Linked DNA regions of Cricetulus griseus. The protein of the gene in region 1 purifies or fractionates together with the protein of each later gene. This does not show direct contact. Links are inferred from orthologs where the notes say so. Each region holds a gene or a part of one and is shown on either strand. Other genes may lie near its edges.

The links.
Region 2: the proteins of Inava (region 1) and Cyth2 purify together in Homo sapiens (co-immunoprecipitation; 3 studies listed by BioGRID and IntAct, counting the BioPlex papers as one, with this or other methods). This does not show direct contact. The link is inferred for Cricetulus griseus from reciprocal best matches to the Homo sapiens genes INAVA and CYTH2.

The regions. Positions count from the first base shown.
Region 1 is NC_048598.1:53,042,416-53,046,371, reverse strand, and holds the start of Inava (innate immunity activator protein), read right to left. Parts: upstream 2,807-3,956; 5' UTR 2,721-2,806; coding exon 2,666-2,720; intron 2,030-2,665; coding exon 1,905-2,029; intron 1,385-1,904; coding exon 1,268-1,384; intron 630-1,267; coding exon 407-629; intron 1-406. UniProt on the Homo sapiens protein: Expressed in peripheral macrophages and intestinal myeloid-derived cells, is required for optimal PRR (pattern recognition receptor)-induced signaling, cytokine secretion, and bacterial clearance.
Region 2 is NC_048599.1:154,708,130-154,712,389, forward strand, and holds the start of Cyth2 (cytohesin-2), read right to left. Parts: upstream 2,801-4,260; 5' UTR 2,610-2,800; coding exon 2,591-2,609; intron 2,372-2,590; exon of another isoform or gene 1,521-2,371; coding exon 1,373-1,520; intron 1,277-1,372; coding exon 1,210-1,276; intron 733-1,209; coding exon 614-732; intron 90-613; coding exon 9-89; intron 1-8. UniProt on the Homo sapiens protein: Acts as a guanine-nucleotide exchange factor (GEF). Promotes guanine-nucleotide exchange on ARF1, ARF3 and ARF6. Activates ARF factors through replacement of GDP with GTP.

The DNA of each region.
Region 1 (3,956 bases):
TCAGTGATCGGCTACCCATAGCAATAGTCAATCCCTAACTCAAGCTAGAGGAGAGAGCATCACCTTTGGGTTACTGCACTTTACCCTGAAGATAGTATTCCAGGTTGAATAAACCCTTGGATCGTGATCAAGCAGAGAAACGCCTCCTCTCTATAAAGTCTTATAAAAGTAGGGTACTACGTGGGAGATGCAGGAGGAGGAATTGGGGTGGAGAAGGTCTCCCAGGGTGGAGATGCTTTTGGTGGGGTACATGGGGGTAAGGACGGAGTCTGTGTGGACCCAGGAAGGAGTACCCTGATGGCGCTAATGTGAAACGTTAACACAGGCAATAGCCGAAAGCATACGGCAAAAGGGAGTACAGCGCCGCGCTGTGTGAGGCCTGCACAGCTCAGGACAGTGGGCTCACCTCTGCCCATGGAGGGCACAGTGGTGGGAGGGGGTTCGCTGTTCCGCCGCCGATCACCCAGGCAGCGCTCCAGCTCCCTGAGCTTTTTCTCCTCTTGTAGTGCAGCATGTTTCCGCTGCCTGCGCACCTGTCTGCTGAGGTTCTCCTCTGCACACAACCTGTGAGCCGCTTCCGTGATCTGAAGCTGCAGAGCGAACTGGCGCTCCAGGCTGCTCAGGGGGTCCTGAGGGAGGGATTGGGAGTGAGGGCCAAGAAGAGTCCTTGGCGCCGGGGGAACAGAAGACTCCAGGCAGCCTTGACCAGGTGGTGAGCAGGCAGCAGTGTCCGGGGACACACAACAAAGGGTGGAGCAGTGGGAGGGGCTCAAAGCCAACTTGTCATTATGAAAAGTCAGCATGAGAGTCCCACCCCAGCTACCTGCTGTGCAGGGCTGGGAGAGGACTTAAGTGGGACACTTTCCTCCCTGATCCCAAAGAACCAAGCACATCAACCCATGGGAATTTCTCTGAGGTAAAGGCTGCCTAGAGCCAGAGCTACCCCACCTCCTTCCACCTAGGCTGAAAAAGTACAGGCCCTCATGCTACACCAACCTCCCTGGCCACCGCTTCTTTGAGGTGGTTATTAGTATTCTTAATCCTCTGCCCACTAGGCCAAGCCCAGTGTTTTCCCTTGAGCTCCCAGCTCTCCAGCTGCTGAGGTGGCAGGCTTACTCAGAGCCATCTGGGCTACCCATGAGGAGAAGCCCTGGATTAACACAGTCAGCACCACATTGGATGGTAGAGATTGCCAGGGAACTGGACTGCTTCCCTAGTTTGTCTCTGGGGATGAGACACAGTGACTATCACCTCTGACACTCCTCACCTCTCTGTGCAGGGCCCACTCATCCAGCTTGTATGCTGCTCCAATCCTGCGCCGGACCTTGGGTGCCTTCTCACCTGGCTTAAGGGGATACTCTGCAGGCAAAGTACCAGTCAGCTCCTGGGGGGAGGGGAGGCAGCGTCAAGGCAGGGCCCCCTCCACTTGCTCAACCCTTATCCAACCATTTAAACTTGCAGTCCTATTCTACACTGCATGGCCCTTTGGAACCAATGGGCAACTTGTGCTCTTGCCCACCTCATCCCACCATGCCACAGTTGTCTTCTTATTCCCATTCTTGAAGCGTGCTCTCTGCTCTTTCCCTTTTGCCTTCCCATTCCCTCTGGTCACTTCCTCCCAAGGGCTACCCTGACCCAAGGTATAATTATCAAATGCGCTTGCAGCTCCTTGGCCCCTCTCAGTCCCTCATCTCTTCCTTTTCGGTACTTGGACCCCTGCCAGGTCTAATTTCCCTCTACCCAGTGTCCATGTCAAACCCACATAAGGGAGACTCTAGGTCTAGACCTCAATCTGATTTCCAATCCCCTCAAAAATGTAGCTTTCCCCTTGGCCTCAATATCCCAAAACATAGTTCCTCAGATAAACCCTAAGTTTGTCGGGGCAGGAGCTCCAGGGGCCTCACCGCCTCCCTTAGGCAGAGCCTACGCAGTTCCTCCAAGCAGGCTTCCAGCTTCGCTTCCAGGGCCCTCTGCTGCTTGCGCACAGCATTGGTCAGCTCCTTCATTGGTGAAACAGGGCTGTCCGGGCCTGCAGGAAGACAAGGGGCACTTGCTCATGAAAACTGAAGCAAGGCATCCCTAGGATACTGTTAATGACCTCTAGGAGTGTACACACGCCTACAGTCTCATGCTTGCCCACAAATTACAGGCTAGCTGTTATGGTCTGTGTCACAAACACAAAACATCATGTCTCCTGGCTGCCCAAAGGTTGGTAACATTATAGTGCAAAGAGAGAGCTGTCCGTCCTACCAGGGGACCCGTCTGGGGGAGGGACTCATGGTCAGAACTGTGTCTTCCCCTCTCCTATCTTTTTCCTCTCTCAAAGCCAGGCCAGACTAGACCCACAGGCTAGTAGAGAGACAGGACATTAACACACTAACTAGATAAGAGTTTTCAACTTCTTAGTAATTGCTGCAGCTCAAGTTGGACACAGCAGATCTCCACTCCAGATAGGGCAGAAACGCCTGGCTAGTGCCTTCCAGCAAGGAAAACTGCAGTTCTTTGAGGTGCCAGACCTTCCAGTGCCCCCACTTCCCCAACATAACCCTCTCTCTCCACCCTCTCCTTCCCCAGCCCTTTGGGAATTTTAGCTTCACTAGCCCAGGGCCTAGGGACTCAGTCTGGAGTCAGGGACCAGCACAGGGGAATTTCCTAGATCACTCACCAGACTGAAGGATGATGCCACTGTCGGTGTCACTGACCTCATCCTTACTCTCCATGATGAATTTCTGGGGGGAGGGGGCACAGAGGAAGAAGGGGCTGCTCCAGTCCCAGCCTGGGCCAGGATGTGTAGGATGCCTGGAGTTTTCCCAGCTTTGAAGAGAAAATAACAACAAAAACACTCTGAAGCCTCCTGTGGTTTGATGCTTGAGGGTGGGGGAATGGAAGTAAGGATTGTGTTTCTGGATCATCTGGGGCGAGAGGTTTTCTGAGGGTACAGCCTGGCTCCCCCTCCCCCCAACTAGGTCTCCATCACAAAGTTCTCTAGGTCTGAAAGGGTTGACTGAACTGGTGGCTGAACAAGAACAAGAAAAAGAATAAGGAGAAGATGAAAAGGCAGGAAGATGGGACACAATGGCAAAGGAAGGAGATGACAAGATGTCTTCATGAGATACGTATAGCCATCCTCACCTTGAGAGCACAGGAGGCGTGAGGCATGGCCTACTGTCCCACTTGCTAAGGGCACTGCAAGAAATGGCTGGACAGTGAGCACAAAGCCAAGCCTGGTCTGGGACCCAAGGACCAGGGGACCTTGCTGTCTGGACCTGGTCCTTCACTTGAAGGTCAAGGAAGCAACTCCATGACAGAGAGTTGTCCTGAATCCCAAGCCACCAGTATACCTAGGAGACTTCCTGAGGAGGAGTTAACCTGCAGACTATATACGTCACAGCTAGGAGGGAAGGGTCTATTGGGTTGCTCTATACTCCACAGCTAGGAGGAGAGAGGGGTCTTTGAGTTGCTGGAAGCTGATAGAAGCAACAGCAGACTAGAAGTTACCAAAGATAGAAAGGAAAACACCAGCTTCTCTGCCTCCCTATGACTGCATAGCACTTTGGTGGTGTAGGTACAGCCCAGCACACCACCCACCCAAACACCTGTGACCACCCCTTATCTCTTTCTCAAACCCACATCCTCAGTGGGATCCCAGCTGGCCAGGGCTGGCAGCTGTTGGCTAGGGCAGGGGTGGGGAGGGGTGGGTGGAGCCCAGGCGGAGGTCTGGAAGCAGAGGCCACCAGCCACCTCCTCACTGAGTCAGCCCATTGAGCAAGAGTCCAAAAGTCCTTCAGAGTTTCTGTCTGGAACTTATCCTGCTGCCTCCACAGAGCACAAGGGCTGCAGGGGTGTGGTGCAGAGAGGAGGGGAGGGGAGACTGCATCCCTGCCGAGCAGAATGGGGTGCTACTACTGTCAGCTAAGCTCCCCATGCCAGCTGACTGAGCCCGAAAGAGCAGGGAC
Region 2 (4,260 bases), on another chromosome or scaffold:
ATTCTCACCGCAGGGCCTGCACCAGATTAAGGTCGGTGAACTCATGCAAATCCACAAAAGCATGGAGCACAGATAGGTTTAGCTCTTCCCTGGAGGAGGGAAGAGAGAGAGTCCCATCAGGAGGAGTGACAGGAGCCATAGCAGTATCATCTCATTTACTATGCCACCCTCCTGCAGATGAACCTTGTTCTTGTAGCTTGTCAGATCTTTGAGTACACAGACCACCTGATGTCATCTTGCAACTGCTCTCACGCTTCCCAGATGCCTTTATCTCAGAACTGACCTTTGTCTAAGAATTCATAGCTAGTTCCCAGTTGCTATGCAATCACATGTCCACAGGTCTCCAAACACTTGCAGCTCTGACCCATGATAAAAACTTCCAGACAATACTTTCCATATGCTAGCTTGTATATGCGTGGTTAAGCCAGTGACACTCAGACTTCAACAGTGTCCTTGTTTACTGGATGACTACAGGTCCATCTCCCTCTAGTTTCAAGCTCCCTCAGAGCCAGTCAGTCCACTATATCATGACCCAGGTGGAGGCCACAAACCTGCTCTACCCATGAACTCCTATTGAGGCTGGGAGTACTACTGTACAGGCTGGGCAGCTCACCTTTCCCCGAGGTAATCCCCAATGGCTGTCTTGTTCAGCCCCTCACCCTTGTACAGGAAGCGGGCAATTTCCTCAGGTGTGTTCTGCAGAAGTTCGTGTTCTACCAAGAATTGGATCCCCTGGATGGAGGATGCCAGATTTATGCCAAGGCAGAGGCTGCTGCTCCCCATCCAAGCCTCTCCACCCTAACAGAGCATGGTCATCCCTAGCCCATCCTCTCAACCTCTGCCTAACTGATTCCGGCATGTATAGCTGGAACAGGTTTGAAGAATAATTGAATACATGATACACTGTATAAAAAAAGAAGCAGATACCTACCCATCAAGCTGTAAACACAGCACCCCTCCCTTACTGCCATATCTCACCTTGAACTGTAGCACTTACACCTAGGGGGATCCCTCAGAGTAAGGCAGGGTCTTAGCATTCCCAGCATTGCCCAGCACAGGACCGGGCTCCCAGAGGCCTCAGTACATGAACATTCATGGAACAGATGGACAGGGATCAGGAGTCTTGCCTAGAGGAAACCTATTATCTTAACACTTCTAGAACCTAGGATATCAAAACCATGCCTGAATATATCTGCTCAGCTAACTAACCTTCTTGGGGTCCATGTTGAACTTCTTCCTGCCCATTGCCATCTTCCGGTTCCGCTGCAAGGTCTTACTGCAAAAGCAGGATGGGCAGCAGCCAAAGGTCAACACTTGAGCATCCAGGGCCCTGGCCAAGCCCTGTGTCCCACGAGCTCGCCACAGTCCTCACCTGCCCTCATTGGCCTCCAGACCCTCCACCTCACTCATAGCTTCACTCAGCTCCTCTCGCAGGCGCTGGATCTCCACCAGCAGCTCCTGCTTACGCCGTCGGATGTTCTCTAGCTCCATGCGCTCCTCCGGAGTCAAGTCTGGGGGCTCTAGGAGTCAGGGTCAGGAAATGAGTTCTGGGGGGGCCAAGATTAAGGCTAAGAGCCTGGATTCCTGTCCAGAAGAGAAATGGCTACTACAACTCTTAGGGAAGAGGGAGTAAGACTCTGAACCCTTAGTCTGGGGCAGAAGTGCCTGGGAATCTCATCTCTTAATAGGTCTGGGGATGAACTTCTGGGCCCATTACTTGGAAAGATGGAGCCCTGCCTTCATCATGAAAGTGTGGACCTAAATCTTGGGTGTATTACTTGGAAAGGAACCAGTCCCTGGGCTCCTGGACCCATCACCACAATGAGGAACTCTTGGGATGTTACTTTAGATGTTTTACTTGGATGCCCTGGTTCCTTGGTTCCATCACAGTAGAACGGGAGGCTTGGATATTGAAAACATTACTTGGAAGGACACAGGGCCTTGGGCTCATGGCTCCATCATCGCAAGGGATCTGGGGCCCCAGATCCTGGGTGTATTTCTTGGAAGGTAACAGGTCCCTCCATCATGGCTGATGACCTGGGATCCTGGACCTTGGGTGCATTTCTTGGAAAAACACCAATACTCTGGTTCCTGGGTCCACCACGGTGGGGACCCTGGCATGGAGCTTGGATACATTTCTTGTAAGGAGGCCTGATCCCTGGCTCCACAATAGTGGGAGAGTTGGGGTCCTGAATCCTGGGTGCCTTTCTTGGAAAGGAACCGAGGTTCTGGCTCCTGGATCTGTGGTCTGAATCTTGGGTGCTCAGTGAAGACAAGCCATGGCATCACGACCGGGGTCAGGATCGGTAGGGAGGTCACAGAACCAAGGTTCGCAGCAAGAAAGGCAGCGGCTCGCGCGGGTGTACGTCCCGCCCCGCCCCGCCCCGCTCTTGTCGCTCCGCCCCGCCCCCCCGCCCCGCCCCGCCCGCCGCCGCCGGAAGAGGGCTCGGCCCAAACAATGGCCGGGACCCCCGGCTCTCGGTCGCGCCGGAAGCCCGTTCCGCGCGCACAAGAGCGCCTCGCTACCACCGCTCGGCTGTCCTTGGCGGGGCTTGGGAGCCACTCCGCCCTCCCGCCTCGCCTGGCCTACCGTAGACACCGTCCTCCATGGCGGCTAGAAAAGCCCGCGGGGAGTCCGGGGCGGTTCCGCCGGCTGGGCCTGAGTCCGCGTCGGCCCGCGGGCTCGAGTGAGCCCGCTCAAACGCCCCAGGAGCCACCGCCGCCTCCTCAGCGCCAGTCCTCAGCGCCGAAAAGACTCTCCCTTCACGGCCCAACCGCCCGGCCGCTGGGGCCCGCCCCTCGCTTTGACACCACCCAATCGGCTGCGGGTCTCCCAGACTGCTCCGCCCCCGAAACCACAGGATCATTTCCAGGACCAATAGACACACAAGAAGCGGTTGCAGGCACGTACAGCTAGCGATAGACTGTTAGAGTGACCAATCGAAGTGCGTCCAGGGGCTTGGTCCCGCCCCCGAAACAAAGGAAAATCCCTGGCAGCTTTATCCTCCAATAAGAAAACTCAAAAAGGAGGGAGCAGGAGGTGGGGATTCGTGGAGCAGGGAGGATTGCGCCTGCGCACGAGCCAGACTAAGACGGCCTAACCTTTTCAGAAATTCGTTGTTAGGGGGTGGTATTTGATTAGTCTTGTTGTCAAGGGCGGAGTCTCAACCTTGAGGTGTTTCCTGGGACCACACCTCCTGGCCCTCCACGCTAGCTTTTGACCGCGGCGGTTGCCAAGCAACTGGGAGCCGCACAGTCCTGTCTTTGCCTTCTTCCTCAGGGTACTTCTGTCTCAGGCAGTGGCTGTCTCTGAACTCTTTCCGTACCACCTCACGTGACTTTCCTCCACACCTCAGTCTCCTCAGTCAAAGGATGGTAAAATAAAGGCATTATCCCTTCCAAATGTATTGGGGACCACAAATACCCTGGATCTACCCTCCTGGTGCTTTCTCTCTTTCAGGCTCTTCCTCTCTCCTAAACGCTCGTCTTAGCTTCCTCCTCCTAAAATCCCGCCTTCCCCAGATATTTGCCCAAGACATCCTCTTCCCTCAGAATCTTTTTTTTTTTTTTTTTTTTTTTTTTTTTTTTTTTTTTTTTGGTTTTTCGAGACAGGGCTTCTCTTGGCTTTGGAGCCTGTCACAGGCACTCGCTCTTGTAGACCAGGCTGGTCTCGAACTCACAGAGATCTGTCTGCCTCTGCCTCCAGAATGTGCACTGACTCTCTTGGCAGCACTCCAGGTCTCTGTGGTTAGGTCCTCCTTCCACCCAGCTTTTCAGTCCTCAAAGTCCTGCCCTTCTTAATCGCCTCCCCCTCCCAGAATCCTTTCTGTTTTGCAGGAAAAGCAGTGAGGGTCCTGTCTGTGATGGGGACTCTGGCATATTTGTAAATCATAGGCCCATAATGGGGCTGATGTGACTTCCAGGTCTTGTCCTCATTTGTGTCCCTGGGCTGCACAGGTCGGGAGGATTCAGAGCCAGGACTTGGTTAAGTCTTTGGATTAGTCATGGAGCCTCCTAATCCCCTCTCTGACCTTTATGAGTGGCCTGACCCATGCCCTCCCTTGCTGGAGACCTGGTTGTGCCAATCCTATCCCACCCTCTACTTCCCAATAGAACCACATGCCCCTGCCTCTTTACATCAGCTTAGCAATTTTCTCCACTATGGTCTCCATCATCCCTAGTCCTTCCCTGCCCTAGACCCAGGGGTGGGAGAGCTGCCAGCTAATTAATCCTGTCCGGTTATTACCTGGGGATTCTGAA